Linked DNA regions of Oreochromis niloticus. The protein of the gene in region 1 purifies or fractionates together with the protein of each later gene. This does not show direct contact. Links are inferred from orthologs where the notes say so. Each region holds a gene or a part of one and is shown on either strand. Other genes may lie near its edges.

Region 1 (7,823 bases):
TCTCACCCTGTAACTTTATTACGGCCTAGTTCAAATAGCAATCGCAGGACAGAGTTATTTACCTGAGAGAAAAATATTGACACTGTCACAGATGATATGAACGAGCCAAGAGTTATATTCCTTCCTTATCTAAAGCAGGGCTTATCAAGCAGCAGGTAAGCTCTCTCTACTGTACAGACACCACCTCACATCTCATAGTCTGCATAGTCCAATCTAGAAGGCAAACAACAGTCTGTTTACATTAACAGTCTCTCACAAACCACAGCCCCACAATTAAAACAGTCAGCCACAGTTTGACCTCAGTAGGAGGCAAAGCTACACCTACAGTCCAGCAGCAAGCTGGCTGGCTGGCCTACAACTTAGTGCTGCTGAGGCACTAGTCATACTTACAATCTGTTGACCTTTGCTCCCTCAAAGGAGAAGGTTTACACCCACCTTTTCCACAACACATACAAAAGTCTGTAAAAGTGGCACCAGCGTTTCAGTAATGCCAAGCAAAAAAGGTTGATTATTTTTTTCTCCTCACACTAAGATTTCAGAACTTCACTCTGCCTGAAGGACAGCCCGCAAGCTTGTGGTGGGCGCTCAATGCATGGCAAAGGAACAGTCGCCTACACCAGTCTAGCACCACAGAGGGATTGTCTAGCAATTCTAGCTAGTCATCCATCTGGTCTTGGCCAGAAAGCACCATGGAGGATCCAGTCATACTTATGAACTGCAAGACAGGCTGGGATGATCTCCAGAAAGCTGTAAAGTAGTATGGCTGGAAAAGTCACAACATGCACACACTCACAGTACTTGGACAGTCAAAGAGCATGCAGATTAAACAAAAAGGTCTGTCACACATCTAATAAAACCAGAACTTAGTCCGTAGAGAAGAAGAATAGCACTTAAAAAGGCAAAGGATTCAATCTCAGTAGACTTGCTAACACTGGAGAGAAATTCAGGTGCTGTTAAAAAAAAGAGAGCTGCTGAAATGCTCTATGGGCAGAGTTAACCCTGGCTCTTCCCAGGGATGTTTTAGTGCACCGAACACAGTGTAGGTCAGGTGACTGCAGAGGAGATGACCCTCTACAGGAAGAGAAATCCTGAGTCACCTAGAGACAAACAGCAAAAGGAAAAGGCTGTCACAAACACAGCTAATGACTGGTGATTGGTGGCCTTGGGGCCACGCAGCTGTGATACGTACAAGTGAAATCAGTACTGTAATCTAATTCATCCAGTCATTTCTGATAAGAGCTCATCAGTTTGACTGATGGAAATGGTAGTTGTCATTAATAAATGTGAGATCGGGACAGGCTGGACGGAGATGAGTCGTACAAGGCGAACACGGAAAATTGGGAGGGGGAGACAGGTGACCTGAAACAACCCTGATTCCCGGAGCTTGCCGAGCTCCGCAAAGACAAGGACTGTCTACTGGAGAAGAAGGGAAACAAAAACTCTAAAAACTGACACAAACAATGGACTAATCTTGTTTTATCTAGTAAATATATACAATTACCTAATGGCACAGCACCAGTTTAAAAAGATAGGACAAGAAAAACCAACTTTACATCTTGTTCTGTCTGCAGCTGCTGCCCGTTGCTATGGCAACAGACATTAAAAGAGATGCCTGCAGAGGATATATACTGAGAAGTCCTGACAACAGCAGAAATCTTCAGACAAAGAGATAACCGCTTTGTCAAATCACATTGCAAGCAATTAGTAGCTCCATCAAAGGCTCCACATTAGAGCTCTTTTTATTTCATCCAACAGGAGAAAAACTACAGACTCCTAGAAAGATCAATATGGTTCAGGAAATGATCAAAGTTTGGCCGGCATCGCGCCAGCCATAAAACCCAATCAATGTTGACATCCGACGTCGGTCGCTCGCACCGACTCCGACTAGGGCATGTAAAACTGACACTGTGTTCAAAGAACAATAATCTCTTTTCTAATAACTGTATAAACAAGAATTTCACCAAGAATTAACATCAAAAAGACAACTGATGTTTAGAAAACTTGCATAAAAACAACCTGAATATTCTGTGCAGCAGCTAACAAAGATTAGAATGACTGTATAACATCCTGCAGAGTAGATCCTATGCTCATGAGGGATAGGGAAAGAAAATAGAAAATCACAAAGGGAGTCTGTATTTCCAAAAAAAGAAAAGAAAAAGTAATTAAACTGTTCTGTATAAAGTGAGTCTTATCGATTTCCCTAAGTGTTTTAATGAATGGCAAAAAAAACAAAACAAAAAAACAAAACAAAAACCGAAGTAGTTCCTTTTTTGGTTTATAAAGCATGCAATTGATAATCCACGGTGATTCTCCTAAAGCTAGGTTCCGTATTCACATAAGAACCACATTAATGTTTAAACGGCCACAGCCTGTCCGATCATTCGTCCTCTCCTTCCTCTTCCTAGCTTTCCCTTCGTCCACTCCCCGAAAAACGTGCTTCTCCTCTGATCCGCTCTTCCGCTCGATTAATTCACAAAGTCACTGCCGGCAGCTCCTCTCCATCTATCCTCTCCTCCGTTTGGCTGCCTCCTTGTTTCGTCCCTCCTCTCACTCTCTTTCTCTCTCTCTCTCTCTCTCTCTCTCTCTCACTCTTTCAGCAGATGGTGAAATGGCAGTGTTGCCAGGATGGATGATGGTAGATGGTAGTCCTTCATTGTGCTCCTCTTCTCCCCTCACGTCTGTCTCTCATCCCCACTTTCCTTCCACCTCAGTCTGTCTGTTAGAGGCACAAGCACACTGTCTGTCCTCCCCTCCTCCCAGTCTGGGTGGGTGATGCTGCCTCCCATTCTCTCTCTCTCTCCCTCTCTCTCTTTCATACACACACATACACACACACGACCGCGCCACAGCCTGTGCCCTCCCCACCTTCTTTTCTCCCATGCTACCTCCTTCCTGTTTCCTTCCCTTCCCCCCACCTTCTCTCTGCAGCCAGAGTCATTTAGCAGTATACATGTGTATGCACAGCAAGATGCTGCACTTCTACTCAGAAATGCACACACTCCAAGGGGAGATGGAGATGGGGATGGGGAAGGAGGAATGAAGGGAAGGGGAGAGAAGGGAAGGGATGGTGGATACATGTGTTTGTGTGTGCATGTGGAGGGTGGGCTGTTCATGTTGGGTATTCAACGCTCCTCCCTTATTCATGTTTGGTAACCTGAGAAACACAGTTAAAGAGTGAGGGGAAGAGAGAGAGAGAGGGGAAGGATGGATATAGATAGCCTCTGTGTGCTGTGACATGAGGTCACTCTATATAACCTTGGTAAGTGGACAAAGTGAGGGGAAAAAGAAAGCAGACTGCACTCGCATGATAAATATTTCCAATGTTACTACATGACTACAGCACTCTAGGGGAAAAGACTGGAAGACATAAAGCAGAAATCCCACAGATTGGTCTTGACATTCGAGCGCATCTGATGAGAAGGCAGTGTTGCGGAAAGTAGAGGAAACCACACATAGAGTGACACAGGAACCCAGCAGAGTGGATAGCAGAGAGTCCTCAAATGACACCCCAAAGAGTCCCCGCAGTACCCAATTTCACCACTACACCATCATCATGAGCTCAAGCAGTGCACTCAAGGATGTGAAGGTTCATAATGAGACAAACTGCAGACAGCTAACATTCGTCATCATACACAGTGATCTGATTGGTAGTGACGGGCATGATTGGCGAAGAAGACACCCTCCACCCGCAGCCTGCGAGACGCCCAGAACCAGTGAAACACACGATACACTGTGGCTTAGGGTTGACCTAATTGAAATTTTGTGCTCCCTTATTAGATTCAGTGAATTAACAGTTCAAGTGCCATCTTGAATTTACATTAAAAAGGTAGCAATCACGCTGAGCTGACAGCTTATTCAGTACACCCAACTAAAACTACTGCAGTTCAGCCACTTTCTTCTCCGTGGAGCCGCAGCCTCCAAAAATAACCAAAAATATCCATCTGAAAATATAGATATGGGTTTTTTTTTTATCTCAAAAATGTAAGGTTTATCTCACAGCTTCCAACTGCATTTGTTTTATTTGGGTGTAACTAATAAACTGCAGAGGAAGCAAAGTTAACATCCCATTCAAACCACAATAAATTTACATGCACAGGGCTGTACAATTACTGAAGCACGATTTCAAAACGACTTTTTTTCCAGTTCCTTCTTGCAGGTGAAAACTTGTGCAATATTAAATGAGGTGTAAAAAAAGAGGGGTGTGCGATTTTTCTGCATCACATTGTACTGCTTCTTAGAAGGCTCTCTCTCTTGAATAAGGTTTTTGTTTTATGTTGCATATGCTACTTGGAAACCCTTTTAAATGGGTCAGAGAACATTCCAGTTTGTTTCATATCAAAGCCTGAAACATGACACTTTCATAACGCTCGATTATAATTTCATGAAAATGGAAAGGAGGCATCTTAATTGGTGAAATATTGCACACCAGCTACAATCACTCATGTGTCCACAGTATCTTTGGGAGCAATTTTATCTTATTCTTGGTGTAATTGTGCAGCCCTGAAATTACGGTGCTTTAACAAATAACGCTTACTTTACACATATGCCCACCAGGGCTGGATGCGAGAGTCTGTTCATTTCTATATTATATCAGAAATTTAGAAGCAGCAACTCCTTTGCCACCGTGGCACGATGTGTTTTTTTAATCAGCTGCTCGTATGATTTTAATGTCTTACCATATATTCCATCAGCCAGCACAGGCAGCGTGAGAGTCTGTAGCCCTAAAAACACCAAGGTGCACATCAGCACACAGTACACAGCATACACAGTCGCAGACAAGCACACACACACACAAATCAAAGAGCAAATTACAGCGTGCTCAAACCAGCGCCCTTGCAGCCACTTGACTTCCAGCATGCTTTGCTCCCAGCATCAGCTGTGGAGAGAGTCATGGGACCTTCTTCATATCGAGCACATAGACACACAACATTGACACAGGGCAGAGGCCGGGCGATACTCAGAGGGATAAAGTAACAGAAAGCGAAGGAAGGAGAGAGGAAGAGTGAAAGGAGAAAGGCAGAAATCCGCTGTGCATGTTGAAACATACCCTGTGGAATGAAAAGAATCAACTCAAAGGACTGCATGTGTAGGTTGTTTGTGTTTCAGCTTGCCCAGTGCGAGTTAGCAAGTGTGAGTTTTGGTGTTCTGCGCCTGCAGAAGTCTGTGGAAACTGCAGCTAGTCAGTATTTATTAGATGAAACAATCGGAGACAGACTAAGAAAGAGCTCTGGATCTAATGCACACGCTGCAGGGCCACATCTGCAGTCTGCTCTTACACTGTATATCTGTGTGTGTGTGTGTGTGTGTGTGTGTGTGTGTGTGTGTGTGTGTGTGTGTGTGTGTGTGTGCATGTGTGTGTGTAATGTGATTTGACCCACCTCACTTATCCTTATTTGAACTAGTCAAAAAAAAATTAGCAAAGATGAGTAAACGGGGCCTCGATGCTGACATTTTCCTCTTGGATTCTTGCCAGAGATGCTGACTAACATCAATTCCTATTATCAAGGCAAGACAGACAGTAAAGAGTCGAGTAAAGAATGAACAATAGAAGGGAGAGAGGGAGGAAGCGTAACTCACACGGGAAAGTCTCAAACGTAAACACAAATAAGCAGGCACACTGGAAAAAGGCAATCAAATTTTCAAAAATTAGGCTGAGGGTGAACATTAGATTAGCCGGGGCTTCAGCAGGAGTACTTTCTCTCGGCTTCATAGCTCACTACGCACACAGCAAACATGTGAGCTGGCTATTTTGGGTTGTGCTTCCACCACCACCACCACCCCTCCTCTAACCACACTCCCACATCTCTATCTCCTTCCATCATTCCTTTCCTGCTACCACTTTCTGCTTTGCTCCACTTACAACTTCCACTTACAACTTCCTTCTCAGTTTAACGGCTTACTTGTCAGAAACTGCGGTGTTTCTTCACTGAAGTTCCAGCTCAACCTTTGAACATTGTCTGGCGTAACTTTTAGTCCTCTGTAGCAGCGAGTATCGAAATTCTTCAAGGGTTCAAGTTTGCATGAAATACTAGGGTCGGGTTTTTTCTTTTACACAAACATATGTTTCCGGATTTAAGTCATAGCTTTGCAAACTTTGTGCAGTTTGCTTTTGCTCAATTAACAAAAGTTCCGATCACACAGCAAACAGGGGCGAACAGCTGAAAGCAAAGTGCAAACACAATTTGATTCAAACTTTTTTCTACTGGACAACCACACCACTTCACCCATTAAGACTGTGTCATCTAATTTAAGTACATGTTGCTGAGTCGCTGCTTTTACTGTTATTTTAGCAAGTTTCCAAGTCGATTTATTTTACTGCTGTTTCTTTAAACATTGCTTTATGTCCAAGTGTATCTGAATAATGTTAACCAGTGGCTTCAAGAGTGCATGCTGAGGAGTTGCACTGAAATCAAGACACAGAATAATCAACGTTACAAAACAATAACAGCTAGGAGATGTTAGCTTGACCCTAAAGTGACCCTAAAGAGTTACTTCAATACTACTGTTTTATAAGCTGAAGTAAGATGTGGGATCATTCCATCTAAAAACATCACATTTTCTGCTCAGCTACCTGTGATTTGCCTGAAAATGTTACAGTTTAATTCGGACATAAATGTGTGATTATTGGGAAATTTTAACTTTGCAAAAGACAACTGGTGGACATTTCTTAATGGTATATAGCTGTATTTCACAATAAGATGAAATAAAGCATGCAGAATCCCCTTTAAAATGCAATTATTACTCACCGAAATGAAGAAAACTCTATTTTTATTCAGATTTTGTTATGATTGATCAAATATGATAATTATGATAAGCTGTACCCAGCAGAGAGTCTTCCCCAAATAGTACAAAATTCTGGAGTTTCTTGGAGTACAAGAGCTTTACTTAAAACTGAGAAAATAACTGTGTTAAATATATACATATTTTGCCTGCTTTGTGGGCATGCACATTCAGGCTTATTATTATTATCTTTAAAATATGCTGAAGACCTCCGTTGAAGCGAGCCTGAAGGAATCCTGATCTGCAAGAAGAGATACCGTTTGAAAATGCAATCTCAGCTTTCTGAGTAAAAAGAGAGAGAAACCACAATAAAGACACAAACAGACTTTCAACTTAGATACGTGGCACCACAGAGTCACTCCGCTGTAACGCGCTGCATATAAAAATGCAACAATTAGAGCCTCTCATACAGAATTCAGGAAAACCATCAGCAGCCATCACGCTGCTAATGAAATTCCGCCGAAGCTGCACTAACTTCTGTTTTTTTAGCATCGCACGGGACGAGATTTTAATCAAACTGTGGCTCACGCAGTGCGCTGCACACTGAGCACGCCGCGCTAGACTGAGCACCGCAGGAGGAAACGCAGCTGAGACTCGGCTCTATTGTATGAAGGCAGTGACGGACAACCACATGCTATGGCCTCAAAAACAAACTCCTACAGTTGGTTTCCAGAATGCGCTCATACACACCAGGAAATAGAAAAAAAACCAACGCACATAAACAACCCCCCTCCCCACATGGTCGGAGAGACAGACAGATACAGTACATACGCCAGACAGAAGGAACCCGAGAAAAACACCTCCTCACAGGTCAAGACACCCACACAAAAAGCGTATGTAGTGTCAACAGTCTCGAAGTGTTTATAAGAGCTTAGCACCTCAGCACTGTGTTTTGTCAATAGCGATGCACCACAGGCCAAATCCAAGTCTAATATCTGCGGTAATATTTGCACTGCTAACAAAAATCTAATTCTTTATTTTTGAATTGGCTTTGCGTCTGAGACACACGGACTCCGTGCACAGCTGTCAAACTGAAACCGCTG
Region 2 (7,250 bases), on another chromosome or scaffold:
TACCCAACGCCCCCTTTAGACATGGAAACAAAGAAATTGTGTCGAGAATGTTTTAGAGTGATTTGAAGTACTTGATGAATCATTTTTGTATTTAATTCAACAGAAGCTTCTTCAACATAAATCCCAGCCAAAGATGATGAAGGGCAGAAGAACATGGAGCAGGCGGTTGGTGGTCTTCTTCTCTGACATGAGGTGAATGTGCTCTCATCTGTGAAGACGGCGGGATGCCGGTGGCAGACAAGCCAGTTCAGTATTCTTTGGGCAATGTCAGATAATCTGCATGGTTCTGTACTGTGAGAAGAAGTAGTTCCACTAAAGGACTGCCAGTGTTTGTTCTGTTCCTACTTGCACAGAGACACTGAGGCCCAGCTGATGCCTTTCTACAGCCCTGTCTTGTCCTACTTTCTTCTGTAACAGCCTATCCCCTGGTATTTCTACCACAGTATTGAAGCTGTGCTTGGAGACACACACTTCTTCCAGCTGCACCTATGGACATGCCATGGACTGTGGGCTGCTTCTGCACTGTTTCACAGTAACCCTAAACTGTACCTAGACTGAAACATTGCTGTCGACATGTGTCCAAATATCTTTAGGTGTCTGCAGGAACAGGGAAACTTCCCATCTTCAGTGTAACTCAGTGGTTTCATTGACAGGTTTTTAAACTTTGAATTCTGTTGGGTTTTATGGCTCATTAAAAGCCGTTTGAACAGAGCACTGTTTCTTTTTCATAACACATTGTTAAAGGTTTTCTGTTGTGGTCTGTTTGTCAACAGAATGAAATTTTGAGGTACAGGAAGTAAGTGTGTCCTGACTGTTTAAGAGTTGTCATTGTCAATCAAATGACTCTGATCAAATTTCTGCACGAGAGCACATGTGGGGTTGATGAAAACTAGGGAAGTGCGTGACTAGTCGAATAATCAAGGTCGCTGTCACTAAGTGGTTTAGAGCACTTCGCTCTCACACTGCAGGCCTACTTGTTGTTCGTAGAGTATTTAAAAGTAGAATGGGAGGCAGAGCCTTCAGTTTTCAGGCCCCTCTTCTGTGGAACCAGCTTCCAGTTTGGATTCAGGAGACAGACACTATCTCTACTTTCAAGATTAGGCTTCAAACTTTCCTTTTTGCTAAAGCATATAGTTAGGGCTGGACCAGGTGACCCTGAATCCTCCCTTAGTTATGCTGCAATGAGGCTGCAATAAAAAAAATCCTGTTTTCCTTCTCTCACCCCAACCAATCACAGCAGATGGCCCCGCCCCTCCCTGAGCCTGGTTCTGTCGGAGGTTTCTTCCTGTTAAAAGGGAGTTTATCCTTCCCACTGTCGCCAAAGTGCTTGCTCATAGGGGGTCATATGATTGTTGGGTTTTTCTCTGTATGTATCATTGTAGGGTCTACCTTACAATGTAAAGCGCCTTGAGGCGACTGTTGTTGTGATTTTTAGCTGTATAAATAAAATTGAATTGAATTGGTATAGAATAGAATAGAATAGAATAGCCTTTATTGTCATTGTACAGGGTACAACGAAATTGGAGTGCAACTCCCTTGGTGCAAAAATACAATAATAAATATAAATGTAAAATATAAAAGGTGCAATAAAACAAACAATAGTAAGTACAATATATACAGGATAGCAGCATTAATATAATGACAGTATGAATAGCAGCATAATATAATGACAGTGACAATATGGAGTAGCTAAGCAGTTTCAATTGTTTTTGTGCTTATTTACTACGGTGATAGCTCTGGGAAAGAAGCTATCCCTGAATCTGTTTGTCCTGGTTTTATGTGACCTGTACCGTCGGCCTGACGGTAATAGTTCAAACAGCTGATTGCTGGGGTGAGAATGGTCCTTGATGATATTGCCAGCTCTGCTGAGGTACCGAGAGTTTGCAATGACCTCCAGGCTGGGCAGAGAGCAGCCAGTGATCTTCTGGGCTGTGTTGATGACCCTCTGCAGTACTTTCCTGTCTGCAGCAGAGCACCCTGCATACCATGTTGTTATGCCGTACGTTAGGATGCTCTCTATGGTGGCTCTGTAGAATGTCACCAGCAGCCTCTCCTCCAGGTTGTTCCTCCTGAGCACTCTCAGAAAGTGGAGACGCTGCTGGGCCTTTTTTACCACCGCCGTGGTATTTGCAGTCCAGGAGAGATCATCAGAGATCTGCACGCCCAGAAACCTCATGGAGTGCACCCTCTCCACACAGCTCCCGTGAATGTACAGTGGGGCCGGGTCTGCTCTGCCCTTCCTGAAGTCCAAGATAAGTTCTTTAGTTTTCGTGGTGTTCAGTTGGAGGTTATTAACTGAACACCACTCAGTCAGTCTGTTGACCTCATCTCTGTAGTCCGACTCATCCCCCCTTGAGATGAGTCCAACCACGGTGGTGTCGTCCGCAAACTTTATGATGGTGTTTGAGAGATGGGTAGGGGAGCAGTCGGATGTGTAGAACGTAAACAGGAGGGGACTCAGAACACATCCTTGTGGAGACCCGGTGCTGAGTGTGATGGTGCTGGACAGGTGGGGGCCGAGTCTAACAGACTGTGGTCTGTTTGTCAGGAAGTCCTTGATCCAGAGGCAGATGGGGGTGGAGAGTCCCAGGTGAGACAGTTTCTGGACCAGGATCTCTGGGATGATATGATTAAATGCTGAGCTGAAGTCCAGGAAGAGCATTCTCACATAGCTTCCTCTGTGCTCCAGGTGACTCAGCGCAGTGTGGAGCGCTATGGTGATAGCGTCCTCGGTGGATCGATTAGTCCTGTAGGCAAATTGGTGGGGGTCCAAAGTGGGAGGCAGACTGGCCCTGATGTGCTGACAGACCAGTCTCTCAAAGCACTTCATCACTACAGGCGTAAGTGCAACAGGCCTGTAATCATTTGGGCTGACCACAGCTGTCTTCTTGGCGATGGGGATGATGGTGGAGGTTTTGAGGCAGGGTGGGACGGTGTTTAATGACAAGGAAAGGTTGAAGATTTTAGTGAAGACTCCGGTCAGTTCGTCAGCACATGCTCTGAGAACCTTTCCATGTATTCCATCAGGACCTGCCGCCTTCCTGGGATTCACTGACCTTAGAGCACACCTCACTTGATGCTCCCTAAGTGTTAGTGTGCCGGTGCTGGGGGCGGGTGGAAGTGGTGTGACAGCTGAGGGCCTGGTCGTCTCAAAGCGGGCGAAGAAACGATTTAGATCCTCAGCCAGCGAGGCATCAGTCCTAGATGTCGCCTGGTTATTGCTTCTGTAGTTGGTAATGTGATTGATCCCCTGCCACATTTTTCTGGGGTCGTTGTCAGCAAAGTGATCTTCAATCCTCCTCCTATAGGCAGCCTTAGCTTTCCTGATGCCTCTACTCAGGTCTGCCCTGGCCGCCCTGTACGCAGCCCTACAGTATCAGACATACTAGTGGTTTAATCTAATGATTAACATTTTAATTGATGCTCAGTGCTGCATGTTGCATCTCCAAAAGTTGAATCTGTTCATCTGGACGTAGCGTTTGGTGGGAGAAACGTTTCGTCACTCATGCATGTTGCATCCTAAATGTTATGGAGCCATCTGCTGCCAGCTGCCACAGAACTACAGCATCGTTGTAGATCAGTGTCCTAATGCTGTTAATCTAAGACCTGATCTTTTTGGTAGGCATGTTATTGGTTTCAAATGCCTTTGTTTAGACACTTTTTGACCCTGTCCATTAAACGGTCCTAAGATGGATTATCTGAGTGCCCCAAATAACTGAACATGCGGGTAAACAGACACATTGCACGCGGACCAATGAATACCTGCGCAGGTGAAATTGCATGTCATTTGCATTTGATGTTTTCAGTTCTTACATAATTATTTAAAACAATAACGTCTGTTATTGTTAAATCCTCACTGCACAGTCTTGCACAAACTGTAAATACCAAAAATGATTCTCTTAATATTTAATACTTTAGTATTTTATTATTTTTTTTTATTTTATTATATGTTCTTTCTTAATATACCTGTACACATGTACATGTTCATGTAAAGCTGAGGAACACGAGCATTACAGGTAAATGTTGCTACACTGTTTATCTGTATATGACAATAAAACTATTGTCGACTGGACACTACAGCTTAGCACTGTTAACACGAAAGCCAACTTTTAGCATACTTTCATCGGGCCGGCTTCCCTGCCGCTCAGTTGTAGCCTGTTTTCCATACAAATGGCTTCATGGCAGAGGTGCACTGTGTTGGTGCAGCGGCAGCCACATATCGCCGCAAGTTGTCCAATCAGCAATAGGGTCCACTCGAACGACGAAAAGGAGCGTAGGCGTTCACGGGTGTGCTGCGCGGTCACGTTATTCTGCTGTCACGAGCCTGATCCGAGCCGTACAGTGGAGGCTAAAGAATTGGAGCGGACATCAGTTATACAGGACGTAATATTTTTAACCAAATTTAGTGCGCGAATAGAGAGCTCAAAGAAGTCTTACCGCTGGTTGGTATTTGAGACGCTCTACTGAGTTATTCCGATCAACCGGTGATGTACTCCAGTATTTGAATGATATTGCTAGTCAGCTAGCTAGCTAGCTAGCTGTTAAGCTAGCTTTACGTTGCGTGACTCGAAGTAATTGAAGAATATACTCTCGGACAGCATTCTTACTAACACGTCTGAGTGCATTTATCTTTAAGACATTTATCAGTAGCCGTTTTTATCTTTAGCACATTTTTGTGGTATGAGTTATACGTAATTTCTAATCCAAGGTAGATGAGGATTGAATGAAATAACGTTAGCTTGCCATAGCCAAGGAAACAAGCCAGCTAACAGGGATAACGTTAACTTATCCCGCTGCTTGCTGATAGACTGCCATCCAGCGGATCTAGTAAATGCTACCTGAATTACCCACCTAAAAGCATCGACCGAACTTGGTAGGCAGCAGTCAGTCACAAAGTTGCAGAGAGGCAAACGGCTACTACCAAACATCAAGTTTGCCATCGTCGACTCCAGTCCGCTGTGAAACGGTGACCGGCGTCAGTGTTTTTCGGAGAAGGCCAGAGTGAGGACAGAAACCTGCAGACATGCCGGCTGTGTCGAAAGGAGATGGAATGCGCGGATTGGCCGTTTTCATTTCGGACATTAGAAACTGTGAGTTACCTTTCTTTATGCTACTTCATCATATGTGTTATTATTTCATTGTGTCATCAAAGTTGACATGGCTAATCTCATACATCATGCAGTGTTGTCATGTGGTATCCTCGACGCAGAAAGCTCTATCTACTTTTTTTAAAAATCAGTTTCGTAACGTTTAGTGGAACAATCAATATGATTTCTCACGTATTGACAGTAATGTGACTGTGGTGAAGTCACCTGCAGGAACAGAATAAAGGATGTTAGGCTTGGAGTAGCAGCTCTGATCAAACGTTTCCTGTTGTATAGTTGTACATGTTGGAAAGCTCGGCGACGAAAGTTCAATTCGCATTTGAAAATTTAGTGTCGTGTCAGGACGCTCCACATGTCTGACAGGCAAGGAAGACTGAAGCTTAAACGAAAACCAGTGGTTGGTATTTAAAACAACAACAATAGTATCAGTGATTACAAGTATAAATAAATAATAATAAATAATACTATTACGTGTAACAAAATGCTACATATTTCCAGCAATTCACTGTCTGTTTTTTTTTGTCAGTTTCCCAGTAATATTTATTCCAGTGATGACGAGAATGCCAGTTTTCACTGTTACTGAGTAGTAACAAGAATTTAGGAAGTAGTTTCCATCTCCTCTTTCCTTTTTGCCGTGATTACACATTTCAGTGTTTGTCACTGCAAACCTAACAGCTACTCCGGGCTTACATTGACAGGCAGTAATGGCTACTTCATGGTGGAATATTTGATACCTCCAGCTTTCATCAGAATCTGAAGTACACTGTATTGTTCTGCCTTTGGGCACGTTTAAAGAAAAATTCAGCAGAAAATAAAAATGTGTGACCTACAACTAGTGTAAATGTTCAAGGTGACGAATATTGCAAACATTTGCAGTGTCGTCTAGATGACTTGTTTTCAAACGTGCTGTGTCAGTAGGGCACCAAAGGGCAGGCAGACCTCTCCAAACACATGTGATTTGTAGCCTTGGGAAATAGACTTGATTACATGTTATCAAATACTCATTTGAAATAAATAGTAATAACATGACAGGTTGTATTGGAATGTTATTGACAAAAGCTTGTGAGAATGAATTTGAGTCTTGTTATGTCGGCAACAAACTTATGTAAATCAGACAGTGAACTGGTTGATTTGAGTCTTTTTATTTCATTTTAAGCACTTTGAGGTATTGCATGAGGTGTATCTGTGCTAACGGAAGCCTGTTAGAAACAGTTGTCTGCTGCCTGTCCAGTTGGGGAGTGTACCACTTTTTGGACAGATGGTAGTTAGAAAGCTTTAACTCATCAGCCATGCTGGTTGGTAGCTGTCTATCACTGTTTGAGCAGGAAGGCGGGCTGCAGGGTGACAGCCCATGATTAAATCCCATTCATTTATCATGATCATCATTGCTTTTCATGGTAAAAATGTTTTTTAGTGACAAGCTCTTTGCCTTCTGCTGTTCCAGTGTTGCTTATCATTATACCTGTTTAAGCAGAAAGTAGATCTGTCTTTAATTGTAATGTTACTTGTTCAGACTAAACACAAATTAGGTCAATAATTGGCAAATGCAGGCACGTGGTCAGGCAGTGGTTTAGGGAGAGCTTGTTGTGGCAGAACATGCATTTTCAGTATTGTGTGATCATGTTCGATTAATTATGGCCAGCCAAAATCATGATCAAGACCCTATTGTGACTGTTCTGTTTAATAAGGCCTAAGCACTTAAAGTTCAGTTCAATTTTATGAACATGACATCAATTGAAAACAATAGTTGCTTCATATTGTAAAGTAAAGGTGGCATGGAGATTTTGCCATGAAACAGGAAGTTGTGAAATCTGGTAGTGTAATGTCCCGAGATGGGCCATAGCCTGAACCCAGCTGAAGTCAGCTATTTGGCAACATTTTGAGGCTTTGTATTTGAGGAAACTCCTCGTAGGGATCTTACTGAATCAATTCCTTGGTCAGTCTAAAGTGCGATTTTAAAATGGTATATTTTTTTCTGCAGGAACATCCTAAAGCCTTCCAGTTCATTTATTTAAGCTCACAGTAGAGCGGGACTAAATATTGATACAGAAATGTGTCATCTTCCTTTTGCGATACTTTATCAACACACCATTGTCAAATATCAGTGGTGACCAAGCCTGAATGTTCATCCAATATGCAGGCTCT
Region 3 (7,126 bases), on another chromosome or scaffold:
GAAGGCACGCCTGAAAAGCACGCCTCTATCGTGTTGACATTAGATGACTAACTGATTAAAATCCAATTTTTTTTTTTACCTTGAGAAACTCTTAGGTTGCTTCTGCTGTTTGTTTTAGTGTCATCTATTTGCACATTGTAGCGTTGCCCTATCCATTTTACAAGATATGGCTAAATATGAGCAAGAAGTATGGTGCTGTAGGATTATCCTACTACTCTTACCAGGACTCACATCATCAATAACCACTTGTGTTTGATGGGGGCACAGAGGTAGAGAGGGTGCCAAGCTGCTGTGTCTGTGTTTCAATTCTGATCCCCAAGGATCCCCAGAAGGGACCGGTTCCATCTAACTAACAGCCAATAACCTGCCTCGGGACCACATGTAATGTCCTATCAGGCATAATAGTGCCTAAGATAAACAGACATATGGCTCACTATATGAGCAGAGCAGTAAAAGGATGGGGATGTCGCGAACAACACTAGAGGCCAACTTCAAGCCAACAGCACAAGTCGCCATCAAGTGCGGGATTTACCAAGGAGATGTCCTGTCACCAGTACTGTCCTGCATAGGCCTGACCCCTGACCGAGGGCACTGACAAGACTGGCTATGGACACCGACTACTAGGGCTGGGCCATATCATACCGTTCACGGTAATACCGGTATAATGTTGGGCAACGATAAGAAAATGAAATATCGCGATAGAATATGGGTAAAACGCGCATGCGAAGTGCCTTTGATTTCATACGCACATGGCGGAAAAAGCACGGCAGCGACGGAGAATGAGAAGGGGGAAAGCGGATCGTTGAATGAAACGGATGAACCAGAATTGGTTTGTAAAAATGCTGCAACTTCAGTGATGTGGAACTGGTTTAGCTTTCATCTGTCAGATACACAACAAAGCACTATTTTTGGTAGAGCATGCTAGCGGGCCGTCGTTATTACGGTGTTTTTTGGAAAATACGGCACACTTAGAATCAATCCTTTGATTTTTCTGAAAATCGACAGTGCCCCTTATAATCCCGTGTGCCTTATGTGTGAATTCTGGTTGCATTTACTGACCTCGAAACGATTTAATGTGATACACAGCGCTCAAAAATCTGTCAAATGTTTTAGTACGACTTTGCTAAGCTACAAACCCGCACTGCTTGATAGATTGTCGGAGCATTACGGCTATCGTAGGCAGGAGCCTCGCCGAGTGATACGTACTGTGCTTCAACATAATATTACCATATTGTGTGTGTATAACCTCTTTTTAAGTTTTGTGGATATTATACATGGTTATGCTCAGGATATGTCAGCCAAGTTCCACTGGAAATGCCTTTTTGTTAAACTGTCAGCGAGGAATTTGCATTTGCACTGTTAAATTTTTATATAGCTTTAATGCACATAAAAAACAGCTGCTTGTTTAAGTGAAAATACATTGATGGGTTTTTTTTTGCACTATTAAAGTTGTGGAGTTGTAAAGTATTTTGCCTAGTGTCAATTATATCGTCAGTTATATTGTTATCGCAAAATTTCAAATGTATATCGTGATAAATATTTTTGGTCATATCGCCCTGCTCTACCGACTACAGCAATTGTTAATAGTCAAAACTGAGGGATCGCACAACCAGAAGACAACACTGCAGTCACAGAGGACAGCTACAAGCACCTGGAATCGCACAGGCAAATGGGAACCATGAAGAGACTACTAGGAAAGCGACAAACACCAAATACCTGCGGAGGGTCAGGCAATGTCCCGAGAAGTCGGATGATTGGGAAGGACAAGATCTGGGCAATCTACGCCTACACCCGTAGTCAGATACCCTGTTGGCCATAGGAAGCACTGACAAGGAAGCTCCTTACAGAGTTTCACCCCAAGTCCAGCACCTTGAGACTATACAGTAAACAGAAAGGAGGAGACCGAGGACTAGTGGGAGTCATAACCACTATCTAGCATGAAATACCAAACATCCATGTGCGCATCAGGAAGATGGCCTATAACTGTGCTTAGTAAATACCTCAGGCAACAGAAAGCTGGAAGGACAGGCCCCTGCATGTGTTCCATGCTGCATTTTCTAGCTTTAGTCTGGAGTGCCAACATGAGGTATAACGACTGTGACTGTAGCCGCCGACAGTGCAAATGTCTGTGCATGTCTCTGCTGTGTGGTACAGCAATTTTTATACTCTTTGCCAACTTCTGAATAATAACAATAATAATAATAATAACAATAACAATAATGACTGCTGGAACACAAGGTGCTTTCATTTGTGGGACATGTCACAGAAAATGGGTCAGACTTTGAAAAACACCCTTGTTACTTTTGTTTGTTTTGTTTGTTTTAACAGTAACTCCGTCAAAAAAAAGAGTTAATCAGACAAATCACGACAACTGAGTTACTGGTTTCTGCTTACCATGAGACACAACACATCTTGGCACAGCATTAATATCCAACTTACCGCATGCCTGAAAGGTCCAGTGAGAGACAGAGAGGGTTTTGCAGCTTTGCTGTATATACCAGCCGCGGATTACCTCACAACAATCTTTTACTGGACTTCCTGATTCCACGATAAAAACTTTCCACTCCGGACGAATTTTGAGCAGTCAGGTTGTTTAACACAGAGATTTCCGGTATTAATTTTCAAAATAATATCGATGCCTGATGTGTTTTTCAAAATAAGGTCCAGAAGCGTTGTAAAGGCTTGTAGAAACGCTTTTAGCACAAACACCTTTAAATTCCTATGTGAGAGACTTTATCAATCTCTCGAATAGTTCAGGAAGAATTTTGGCCCAAACGTCTTCGCAATGTTGCATCACTTCATTCAGGTTTCCAGCTATTTTTCCACACACCGGTCTCTTCAGCTCGTTCCACAACATTTTAGTCCGGCTGAGGTCTGAAATTGACATTTTCTTTTTCAAGGATTCTGCAGATTTGATAGTGTTTTTTGGGATCGTTGTTTTGTTGCATGATCCAATTTTAACCTAAGCTTGGTCTCGTGGACAGATGGCCTCACACAGTGGCGGTTTTTGATATGGGCGACATGGGCGCCTTCCATTTTCGAGGTGCGCCTGCTGCTTGCCGCACAGGGAGGGGCGAGGGATTCTCTGGCTGGCTGGTACGGCATTTAATAACCAGCTCGCAAAATAAAACTAAATAAAAACAAACCAACAACCACAAAAACAGAATACATTATGATATAGATTTATAATTTGCACCGATGTGTTTTCTAAATTCTATCACACACATATGCGAAAAGTGAGCGCGATGGCCCTCAGTGCGCCTGCTTGCTGCTGATGCTGTGCTGTTCAGGTCGATCACACAACCTGTCCAAAGGGGGGGGGGGGGGGGGTGCTTCCAAATGGAGCACATTTCATTCATAATGTTGTCAATCCAAGCCTGTTATGTATTAATTATTTTTTCCTGGGTTGTGCGAATCTCTGCACTAAAGTGTAGGTCTGTTAGGTTATGTTGTGGTGATTTTCGGGTTTGGGGATGGGTGTTGATACTGGAGTGCAAGATGAACACCAATGGAAGATTGACAAGAAAAGGTTAAAGCCATCAGGTGCTCAGTGTACAAAAAAAGAGAGAAAAGGAGGAGGAGAAACTAGCAAAAGATACAGGTAAGCAGATATGTCATTGGATGATGGCAGGTATTATGTATGACATGTATCCTGAACAAGATAACATTTCTGTTTACGTTTGTTAGCCACTTGGCAATCTTAGTAAGCAGTAGACAGACACTGATTGTTGATTTGTCTCCTATTCTCATTGTATGACGAATTATAATGGCTGCTTGTTAGCCGTTTACATACTATGCATACGATCTCTCTCTCTCTCTCTCTACACACACATAAAACACACACACACACAAACACACACACATATATATATATATGTATATATATATACATATATATATACACGGGGAACTCAATGTACAACACCAGAGGCCAGCTTCAAGTCAATAGCTAAAGTCAGCACCAAATGCGGGATCTACCAAGGAGATGCTCTGTGTCCACTGCTGTTCTGCATGGGCCCGAACCCCCTCAGTGAGATCATTAACAAGACTGGTTGCCGACTAGGAAATGGAGCAATCATCAGCCAGAGACATACATTCACTGATCCACACCACCAGGATATACAGCAGTGACATCGGAATGTTGTTTGGACTGGAGAAGTTTATCTGGTTAAATTCAGTATGGTTCTGACAACAGTTTTCACAATAAAATATGTTAATGTACAATCCTTAATATGCTTTATGTGTTTAAAGCATATGGTCCCATATAACATGCTTGACTCAATAAATGGAAGGAGCCAGGTCCTGTGGCTGCAAAACAAGAACAAATCATCACCTTTTCACCACTACATTTGACAGCTGATGTGAGGTATTTGTGCTGTGTTTGGGCTTCACCATATGTAGCACTGTGCATTATGGCTAAAAAATCTTTACTTTGGTCTAGTCTGTCTGAAGACAATTGTTGCAGAAGTCTTGTGGCTTGATCAGATGGCATTTTGCAAACCTAAGCCATGCTGCCATATTCTTTTTAGAGAAGAAACGCTTTCAAATAAGTCTTAATCACATGGTCTCACCTCAGAATTAATTTGCTGGGACAGTCAATCCTTGGAAGATGTGACAAATCAAATGAATTAATGACCTGTCATAAATGTCCTTCATATCTCTCCACTATTGTTCATTTGGTCAACTTCCTTAAAGCCTCTTCAGATATAAAGAAATCACATTCTTATAAAAGGCTCACAAAAGTTGTATTTTATTTTGTTCATTCTGAATTTCTATCAAAAGTACAAAGTATGAGAAAACAAGTGCTGCTACCTATGCAATGATAACATTCTTGCTATGACTAGTGCTAAAATGTAAATGGCAAGGTCAGTATTACCTTGTGTAGTACTGGAAACATTTGTTTTTTTTATATTTGAAATGAAATGAACATCTTCCTCAGCAGCAAATATTTATATTAGATTAAATTGGGTCAGAACAAAAAAGTCAATTTGCATACATCAGGAATACTGTAAATGAATGGTATTTCTGCCCAGTCTCCCAAATAAAAACAAATGACTTTGGATGAGTGGATGTTTTATTTGTTTGTGTCTCTCATAAAACCTTCTGTAAGGAAAAGAACAGACAAGGTTTACAGACACATCTATGTAGTCACATGACAGAAGATCATATCTGTTTCTTGTACTTTTCCCGTGGAGAATAACTGAGTTTCTGACTAAGAAACCTTAACTACAGGTTCAAAGGTGAACTGGCAGTCTACAAACATACCAAACTATAAATAGGGTTGAAGATTTGGAATACTTGGAGTGAACAGTATGGGTGTTAGAGAATTGTGATGTGGTCTCATGCGACAGGAAGTGCAGAGCACTCGATTTTCCCAGTTCTTCTCCGATGGTTTCTTTCACTTTGATCATCACTGTTTTCACCTCAGAGTATTCAGCAATAGCATATTCTCCACTGAGCAGACAGAGACAACACATGAGAAAAGTTAGAAAGTACAGATCCAATAAATATAATTAAAGCATATGAATAATGAAACAGCTGAGGCTTATACCCTCTAAAGGGAGTCTGGGGGAGGGGTCTCATTTTATTGACTGTCAGTTCTTTCATGTGTTCAGTAAAGATACAAACCTTTGCAACAGTCCATCCATGGTATAAAGCAGTGGTTCTTAACCTTATTGGAGGTACCGAACCCCACCAGTTTCATATGCGCATTCACTGAACCCCTCTTAAGTGAAAAATAAAATATGATTTTTTTCAAATTCAAGACATAGATATGTTTTTTACTGGTGCACAAAATGAGGTGTGCATGTCACAGCGGAGGCTCTGCCAAACCCCTGAGACCGACTCACTGAACCCGTAGGGTTCGATCGAACCCAGGTTAAGAACCACTGGTATAAATCAAATAAATAAACCATTTACTAATATTTAATTATTTGGTTTTCAGTTTGAGTAGAAATAAGCAAAGATTAACATTATAGTTAACCAGTACATTACATGTTCATTTACACAAACTTTAACATCCCTTTGCTGTTAGGACCATAAACAGGGACTTTAAGGGACTTACCAGACAGTGCCAGTCTCCAGTGCTGCAGACACTGATAAAGCTTTGTCCACACTTGTTGTAAAGCCTGCTGACACTAGGCCATACTGTGTGTGAGTTATTTGCTCTCTCTATGGCCTCCTGTTGGCTCTTAAAGCTGAATATACATTGCTCTGGACCAAAGAAACAGGAACGTATTAGTGAACATCAGCCAGATGTAAAGCATGTAAAGTGGTTCCCAATCTACAACAGTGTATACTATTGCCACTGAGAACAGAAAATGAAAGAGAAATTGCATTTTTTGTTAGTTATTCATGACTATGTTCAATACAGCAAAGACTTTCTTTCTGTTTTTGTTACGGTTTGCGGGGCAAGCCATGTGAATTATTAAAGGACCCAAGATGCAGGTAGCTTCTGAAGTGAGTGAGCTTTATTGTGACGGTGAGATAACAAACAAAGAAAAGAGCGGCGAGAAACAGAACTAGAAACACACTATACTGGGAGAACTAAACTTAAACAACAAAACCTGAACACAAGTGAAAGCAACTTGCAGGGAAAATTCACAGGATGACGGAGGGAGATACACAGACCAGAAAACACCAAATAACGCAGACAAACCAGCCATGCACACCAGAAAACACAGGGCTTAAAAACACACATGGCAATCAGGGGATGGGAAACAGGAGGAAGACACGGCTGGGAGTAATTGGACATAACGAGACAAGGGGAAGCGAAACCAGAAACAAAAACGAGAGACGCAGCCCTACAAAATAAAACAGGAACTCACACATGCAAAGACACAGACTAAGAAACCCGGACTTTACACAGAGGAAAATACAGACAGAATGACTAAACATTAAACTGAGGAAGAACAGAACCAAAAACCAAAATATATCACAACAATAGAAAACACAAAACACTGGGTCAAAGACCCAGGATCATGACAGTTTTTATACATTGTGGCGAGGTGTGGTTTGCGGCTGGTACTGTTTAAGTTACTCAATCAGTGCCAGCCTACCTGCCCTGCCAGCCTCTATGGTGCTCCCCCCTCAACCCACTGCACCACCCCTCTTATGCAGCAGAGCC
Region 4 (7,526 bases), on another chromosome or scaffold:
ACGCACCTCCTCTGCAGTGTAGTCCACACGAGGGATGGGCTCACCGCTGTGAGAGACAGAGTTAAAGGATGAAAGCCCTTCTAGGTTTTTATTATTAACTTCATTAATGAAGAAATCCATAAGAGGAACTCACTGTTTGTAGTTTATAGCTAAATCAGAAAAATATTGTCTTCTTTTTCTGTATATGTTGTCCTTAAATCCCTGCAGGAACAGCAAAACCTCAGTCGGTTACTGAGTTCACACTTCATTTCAGAGCTCTGTCCGACGACCCACATACCGGATGATCTGCATCAAGTTCAGAGCCATACATCAAAACCCTGTTTGCACACAAGTCCAAGTCAGAGATCTTCTTGGGGAACCACGGCACACCGAGCACATCTGAAACACAGTCAACACACGCAGACCTGTGAAATAACTCATTTCTATCACAGCTTCTGTTTAGTCAAAGTACGACAAGGTGTACCGTCCTCGGGTAGAGCGGAGCTGTCGAATGGCGAGATCTCCACGATGTCCGTGTGCTTCCTGAGCAGCTCGGTGAGCTCCTTGAACTGCTCGTGGTCTGTGTCGCAGTCCACAAAGATCTCAAAGTCTGAATTCCTTCGTTTGGACTTACGGGACTCGATGTGAATGAGGTTGACGTGTTTTTCCTGTGCGCGTGCACACACACACACACACACCCAAAGAAAATGCTGTAAATGCTTCCGATCAAATTCAAATTCCTGGCCAGTCACACACATCCTCAGAAAACACCATATCTGTGTCAACATAAAGAAAATGAAACCTCACCTGGAAAAGTTTCAGTGCCTTTATAAAACCACCGACTTCGTTTTTCAGAGTGAATATGATGGTTGTCGACCCTCTCCCAAAGCTGCTGGAGACGGTCCTGTTGTCCAAAGACCTTCCTCTGCGAAGCTCCTTTCCTTCTGACTTCCTGGCGTACATGCTTCTCTGGATTTCAGCGACACAAATATGAAATTTATAATGATGGTTCAGTAAACTTGTTTTTGCACTGGCTGCATCAGAGAGTCGTCTGGTAGGAGTAAGACGTAAAGGTTGAGACAGGATGAGTTTCCAGCTGTTCTGTCGCTCTGCACGGCGGCTGCTGCGTTTATGAAGCTGCAGCAGAGGGGAGGGCGCTCCAGAGAGGAATATTCATCAGGAGGAAGATCAGCATAATGCCACATACATCACAACACACGGCGCTTTGACACGTCACCACCTGATCACTTATTGTAGAGTCAAACACACGTGATGATAAAGTGTTACTGTAACTGTCCTTTAAAATACACGAACACGTGAACTTTACAGTAACTGTGAACGACTTACTGTTAGCTTCATGCCAATAATTTACTGTACAGCAACATGTTTATAGTACTGTGTACTGTTTATGTACAATGAATTAGATATTTACTGTATTTATGACACATTTTCATTTACACTGTTTCAGGATTAACATCCTTTATTAGTTATAACAATAGAAGTGTATGACTGTAATATCATTTCCCAGGTTATACGTGGAAGGTTTCTGAATTCATTGTGTAATTTTCAGTACCTGAAACATGCACACGTTTCTAAATCAAACTGAAATGTAGTTACAGTAGAACAGTTTTAATAGAGAGAGGGAACAAATTATGTTGCAAGTATTTGAATTAATGAGTATCCAACATGTTAAAGTTATAGGCTGTATCATAAAGGATAGCAAACTTTCCTTTCTTTCACTGAACTCACAGAAATCATTTTGAGCTGCAGGTGTCGGTTCCTGCTGTTCTCTCTTCTATTACATATGAAGACAGTTAAACCCTAAATTCTGGAAATGTGGGAATGAAGAGATTCCTGTTTGTCTGTTTGCTGACTGTATTTTTATGCAGTGATTAGCCACTGGACAAAATAAAAGAATTATTTATAAGACAGAAAACACACACAAAATATGCTTTAAGTGACAAATACTTTAAAGAACAGAGTATTATCAGTATTCTGACCTCCTGTCGTGGACTCTAGTTACACAGTACTCTCGGGTGCAGACAGCTGTAAGGTGAATCTGGAGACACTGTTGAGTCATTTTAAAGAAACTTCTGGTTATGAATACAGAAATTATATTTACAGTTCTAATTTTTGAAAGTTTACCATCATTTTTTTGTTCAGTCCTGTTTTAATATTAATTTTTTGACATATTCAGCAGGTTATTTTTGGATCTTTCAGCAGGTAAATGGACTGATTGTTATATAGCACTTCCCTCTGTCCCAGAGTACTCAAAGCGCTCTATACAACATGTCACATTCACCTTCTGATTTTAAGTGCTTACTAATGTTCACACACATTCATACTCTGATGGATGCATTGGAGAGCAACTTAGGGTTAGTATCTTGCCCAAAGGCATGCAGACCAGGCGGAGTGCCAGGGATCGAACTCTACCTCCCGAGCTACAGCGGCTAGTATACTCTGTAATACAGACAACATTCCAAATAGTCACGTGTAACTACAGTGTAAGGAGGGGAACACTGTTTGTCCAGAGCTATAAAATATAAAACTGTATCAGTCTCCAAAAGTTGAATCTGTTCATCTGGACGTAGCGTTTTGTGGGAGAAACGTTTCGTCACTCATCCAAGTGACTTCTTCAGTCTGTATCAGTGTTTTCTTTTACCCAGATAATTACGCTTGGAGCAACCAGTCAGTGTGAGTGTACACAAGCACTGATAATAATATTGCAAAAGGACTGTAAAGCGAGCCATCACAGCTTTTTATTGATAAGAGTTCAAAACGTATCAACTGGATCTCGTGATCAGGAGTCATCAGGAATTTCGATTCGTCGCTCAGGACATCACCTCTGTCAGAAAACAGAGGGCGGGTCTGAGTCACCTGTTCAGCAACAAAGAGCAACTTCAGTTTCACCAGCGGACGTTTTGCACAGGTGGCATCTTATCGCAGCATCATGCTGGAGCTCCTCAGAGCGACCCATTCTGTCACAAATGTTTGTAGAAGCCGTCAGCATGAGTAGGTGCTTGATTTGAAACACCTGTGGAAGTGATGGAACACCTGAGTTAAATGATTTGGACAGGTGAGTGAATGCTTTTGGCAGAGCAGTTTAGTTTTACATAAAAATAACTCACTCACTGTGAGTTAGAAGTTTCCACCAAAGCTTTCATCACATGTTCGGTTGCTCATGGTCATAACCTCATACGGGAGGGTAGCTCACAATGGCCATGTAGTCCATCTATAATGAGTAATTGTAGTTATAGCGAGAGACAGGAAGTCTCTATCTGCTCCTCTAATTTTGTCTAAAACTGCAGCCTGACTCCAGGAGGCTCCACATGAGGCCTGGCGTATTTAAACACATTTACGGCCGGACGTGACCCTCAGCAGCCCTCTGAGATGAACGTCACTGATGTGGGTTTGCTGCTAACTGCAGCCGTGATTTTCTGGGCTGCAGATCTGAGCCTGATGCTGCTTCTTTGAAAAGCTTAATGAGTCAGACTCAGAGTGTGATCCATCTACTGTCTGTTTATGCGATTAGAGAGCCCAGGCCTTTGTGCAGCACTGTCTGCTGATGCTGTATGTGTTTCTGTGCAGGCTCGTTTTTTTACTGCTTTACCTTGTTACGCTCTGATCTTCATTCACATGAATGAAATAATGCACATGAAATACAAATATAACTTCCAGCATGAATCCAAATGAAGCCGACTCTAAAAATATCCCAAAATTACTCTAAAGATGCTAAAGCCCGGTAACGCTGCAGACCAGCACCTGAGGAATAACGGAATAAAATAATCAGAGTGTGTAATTCAAGCGGAAAACTACTGAGAACTGTGAAGGCCTGAGAAGTGTACAGTTTTAGGACTGAGCCTGTATCAGTGCAGAGACCACAAAGTATGACACGAGTCCATAATTACACTGGCTTTGTGAAAAGTTTTGCATTCAGCCAGCTCCAAACGTTTGGACCATAACGTGTCTCGTACTGTATCTCACTTTCATTTGGAAAGTCTGTAATTACTCCACATAAATAAGACACATGTTCCACCATGAGACATTACCGCAGTTTAACTGAGGCTCAAATAGAGACAGGTAGAAGAAGAGCTTCACACAGAAGGAAGTCTCTCAGTTTGAAAAATAAGCCAATAATTTAGACAGTGTCTTCATTAATTAATGCCTATCAAATTTCAGAAATTCATTCATCCATTCTCTTCCGCTTATCCATTTCAGGGTCGTGTAGGCGCTGGAGCCTATCCCAGCTACCATCCAGGACGGGTCGCCAGTCTGTCACAGGGCCTTCAGAAATTCGTCAAAAGAACCCCCTCCCCAATATCCGCTTTATAACCCAGCTGTTTGTCTTGATGTCATAACGTCTATTACAAAAAAGTTGGGACTTTTATAAAAGTACATAAAACAGAATGCAAATCACAACATATCAAACTTTTAAACTGAAAAATGAATTGAGTCAAAGTTTTAATAAAAATGATGAAGACAGTAGCATGACTCTAATAGTCTCCCAAACATCTGGGAGCTCTCCCGTCCTCGGTGCTCATGCTCCAGATGTTCTGGGCTGCTGAAAGGTCAGGACTGGGCCGGGTGCGTTCACTCAGTTGAGTGGGTAAAGCGAACATGTTTGGGACGCGGCCCGCCTGAGGAGGCTGGAACAGGGCGTTTCCGCGCTGAAGGGGACGCGGCCCGTCTGGTTCCTGTCTCGGTCATATGTCGGGGCTCCTGGTGCTCGCAGCGGCGGTTCGCGGTTCCACAGACAGAGAGTTGAGGGTTCGAGCAGCGGGTTGTCCGGGTCAGCTGAAGCTCCCCAGCAGCGGAGAGGATGCCGGCGGTGTCTAAAGGGGACGGGATGCGCGGACTGGCCGTGTTCATCTCCGACATCAGGAACTGTGAGTTTGTCTCCTTCACCCTGCAGCTAGGCACGGCTAGCCTCTGTACCGCGGGGACCTCAGGGAACACGCCCGGGGGGGGACTTCGAGCCCGGGGTCAGTTTCCCGCCCCTGCCGCCCTCATTCTGGGCACATTTACCCCGTTAAAGTGGGATAAACTCCCGCTCAGAGCTCAAACCTCCCCGGCTAATCAACGCTAGCTGCTAGCTCGGAGCTGCTAACGTCACCGTGTCAAAGGGCGTGGGCCGCCGTGGGGAGATAAACAAACCGTCACTTTTTAACGGCGTGAGCTGCTTTATCAGGCCAACATGAGCGGCTCAGTGCCGCCTTAGCCGGTCGAAAAAGTCGGTGTGTAAAATCTCCGTGCCACCGCCTCAGTTGGCGTTAGCTGGAACTAACGTTAATCGCGAAAAGTAATGCAAAACGGTAATCTGAGTACTCGTGAAAGAGCGAGAGTAGTGTGGTGGTGCTCTCCAGGGGGTTTAGGGAAAATCAGCAGCGTGGAAAATAAAAGTTTGAAATGAGAGCGTGTTCGTGGGCAGGTACAGGTGAAAGGTGAGAAACTCGGGTGAGGCCGAGGCAGGTAGACATTCCCCGTGTTTCTGTTTGCTGATCGTGGGAACGAGTTACAGCTACAGTAACTGAATCAGCTGCTGTGTGACGGTACGACTCTGCTCTGCGGTACCTGCATGATGAGCAGGCCAGTGGTTTTTGGCCTCTTTCAGCATCCTTACACTCTGTGATGTGAGTCTGTGCTGCCGCCTCTGTAGAAACAGACACGTTTCACGTCCGTGAGCGTTTATACCGGGACATGAGAGAGAGATGACTCTCTGACCCCTGACCTTAACCCAGAAACACTAAAGTCAGGTGACTTTCCCCCACACTTTCGCCCACATGGTCCTTATGTTGCCTAACATAAGGACCACTAACATGCAGAACTGCATGTTAGTGTTCTGGGTGAGAAAACAGGAACGCGGCCTCAGAGCTTCCTGTTGCTGCCCCGACACAAACCGTCCTGACTCTGATTTTATTCTGCAGTGTCCCAGCTGCTGCTGCTCTGCTGGTTTTGTTCATGCTGGTGTTTCAGGGTGACCTATTCTGAATCCACCACAGCAGCTTACTGTGATTCACAGTTCAAAATAAGCCTTCTGTATTTGATAGTGCAGCTGATTCAGTCACAGCTGATCTCAGGCCCTCTGTGTTCATACAGCTTAGACTGTCAGTGAGCGCTCCCACATCCACTCTGCTCCCTTCACCTCTTATTATCCGGTCGATGTGAAATGTTGGTGAACGCTCATCAGGTTATAAATCACGTTCTTCACAACAAAGCACATGAAAAATGTTCCTACTGTCACAATCAGAGACCGGACTTAAAGATGGATTTAGCTGAAAGGTAAATCTGACACAGACGTGTCTTCAAACATGCAGCAGGGGGCGACTCCTGCGGCTGCAGAGAGAAGTCTGATTGGATGGAAGTCTGTGAGAAAAAGAGGCTCCAGCTCAGCTGATCTGAGCTCAGTAAACACTGTAATGATGATTTATGGTCTCAACCGCTGGTTTCGGGGCTTGCTGAACAAAGCGTGATGTTCGGTTTGGAAGTTTTGGTCACAACAGAGCGAGAAAGGAGCAGGAAGCAGGGAGGATTAGCTCTGTGTGATCCTGCAGCGTCATCAGGTCTACGCTTCAAAAACGGGCGGCCTGAGGTTCCTGCTTCTGGGGATATTTTCTTAATAAAGTAAAGATATGTCACTGCTTTATCAGGAAGCTGTTATGTTGTAGTGTGCGATTGAACCTGGACGCCACATTCCTCAGCGGCGGCGACCTTTAAAAAAAGGCAGGATGTTGTATTCATGAGTGATCACAGCTCTGTGCATGCTGAATAATGCTGATCTGTCTGCAGGTAAAAGTAAAGAGGCCGAGATAAAGAGGATAAACAAGGAGCTGGCAAACATCCGCTCCAAATTTAAAGGTAGGTGATGGAGAAACGAGCTCGCCGAGTCACCTGACGTGCTTCCTGCTTCCTGTCCTGACTGCTTTGTGTCGCCCTGTGAAACCTCACTGACTCTCTGGTTGCTGCTGTTTCTCCTGTTGCCACCTGTTCCTTGCTGCCTATAATTAGTCTGCTGCAGAGAGGAGGCGATATGCAGGCAGGGAGTGTCCACATAGCGCCTCCTCTCCGCCCTCTCCACCCGGCATTCAGGCCTCTTCACTGTGTCCACATGTCTCTGCAACTGTGCTTCTTATCCATGAGGTACTAAGGGTGGCGTAACACTCTTTCTTCAGGTTTATTTGATGATGATGTTTCCAAACGCCTAATTAAAGCCCAGTCATGCAAAAACAGAGATTACGTGTGTTTGATGTTGCACTGCTGCAGATCCTGAACCTCCCACTCTCACTGGGTTTGGATTATTTGACTAGATTTGAATCAGACAAAGTCCACCTGCTCTTTTCTCCGAGCCTCACCTGTTTGGAATAAAATGCTGCTGTTTATCACATAGACAGTAAAGAGTGTGTGTGTGTGTGTGTGCGTGCAGGAGACAAGGCGTTGGATGGCTACAGTAAAAAGAAGTATGTCTGCAAGCTGCTCTTCATCTTCCTTCTGGGCCACGACATCGACTTCGGGCACATGGAGGCCGTCAACCTCCTGAGCTCCAACAAGTA

The links.
Region 2: the proteins of shc1 (region 1) and ap2a1 purify together in Homo sapiens (affinity purification with mass spectrometry; 4 studies listed by BioGRID and IntAct, counting the BioPlex papers as one, with this or other methods). This does not show direct contact. The link is inferred for Oreochromis niloticus from reciprocal best matches to the Homo sapiens genes SHC1 and AP2A1.
Region 3: the proteins of shc1 (region 1) and lrrk1 purify together in Homo sapiens (affinity purification with mass spectrometry; 3 studies listed by BioGRID and IntAct, with this or other methods). This does not show direct contact. The link is inferred for Oreochromis niloticus from reciprocal best matches to the Homo sapiens genes SHC1 and LRRK1.
Region 4: the proteins of shc1 (region 1) and AP-2 complex subunit alpha-2 purify together in Homo sapiens (affinity purification with mass spectrometry; 4 studies listed by BioGRID and IntAct, with this or other methods). This does not show direct contact. The link is inferred for Oreochromis niloticus from reciprocal best matches to the Homo sapiens genes SHC1 and AP2A2.

The regions. Positions count from the first base shown.
Region 1 is NC_031976.2:20,859,235-20,867,057, forward strand, and holds the start of shc1 (SHC-transforming protein 1), read right to left. Parts: upstream 3,005-7,823; 5' UTR 1-3,004. UniProt on the Homo sapiens protein: Signaling adapter that couples activated growth factor receptors to signaling pathways. Participates in a signaling cascade initiated by activated KIT and KITLG/SCF.
Region 2 is NC_031969.2:2,264,048-2,271,297, forward strand, and holds the start of ap2a1 (AP-2 complex subunit alpha-2), read left to right. Parts: upstream 1-4,245; 5' UTR 4,246-5,023; coding exon 5,024-5,090; intron 5,091-7,250.
Region 3 is NC_031965.2:4,655,373-4,662,498, reverse strand, and holds the start of lrrk1 (leucine-rich repeat serine/threonine-protein kinase 1), read right to left. Parts: upstream 3,006-7,126; 5' UTR 2,440-3,005; intron 1,877-2,439; exon of another isoform or gene 1,807-1,876; 5' UTR 1,717-1,806; intron 1-1,716.
Region 4 is NC_031965.2:39,416,058-39,423,583, forward strand, and holds the start of AP-2 complex subunit alpha-2, read left to right. Parts: upstream 1-4,521; 5' UTR 4,522-4,798; coding exon 4,799-4,865; intron 4,866-6,765; coding exon 6,766-6,834; intron 6,835-7,399; coding exon 7,400-7,526. Other genes in the region: tryptophan 5-hydroxylase 1, read right to left, coding at 1-46, 134-201, 278-378, 464-647, 787-942. UniProt on the Homo sapiens protein: Component of the adaptor protein complex 2 (AP-2). Adaptor protein complexes function in protein transport via transport vesicles in different membrane traffic pathways.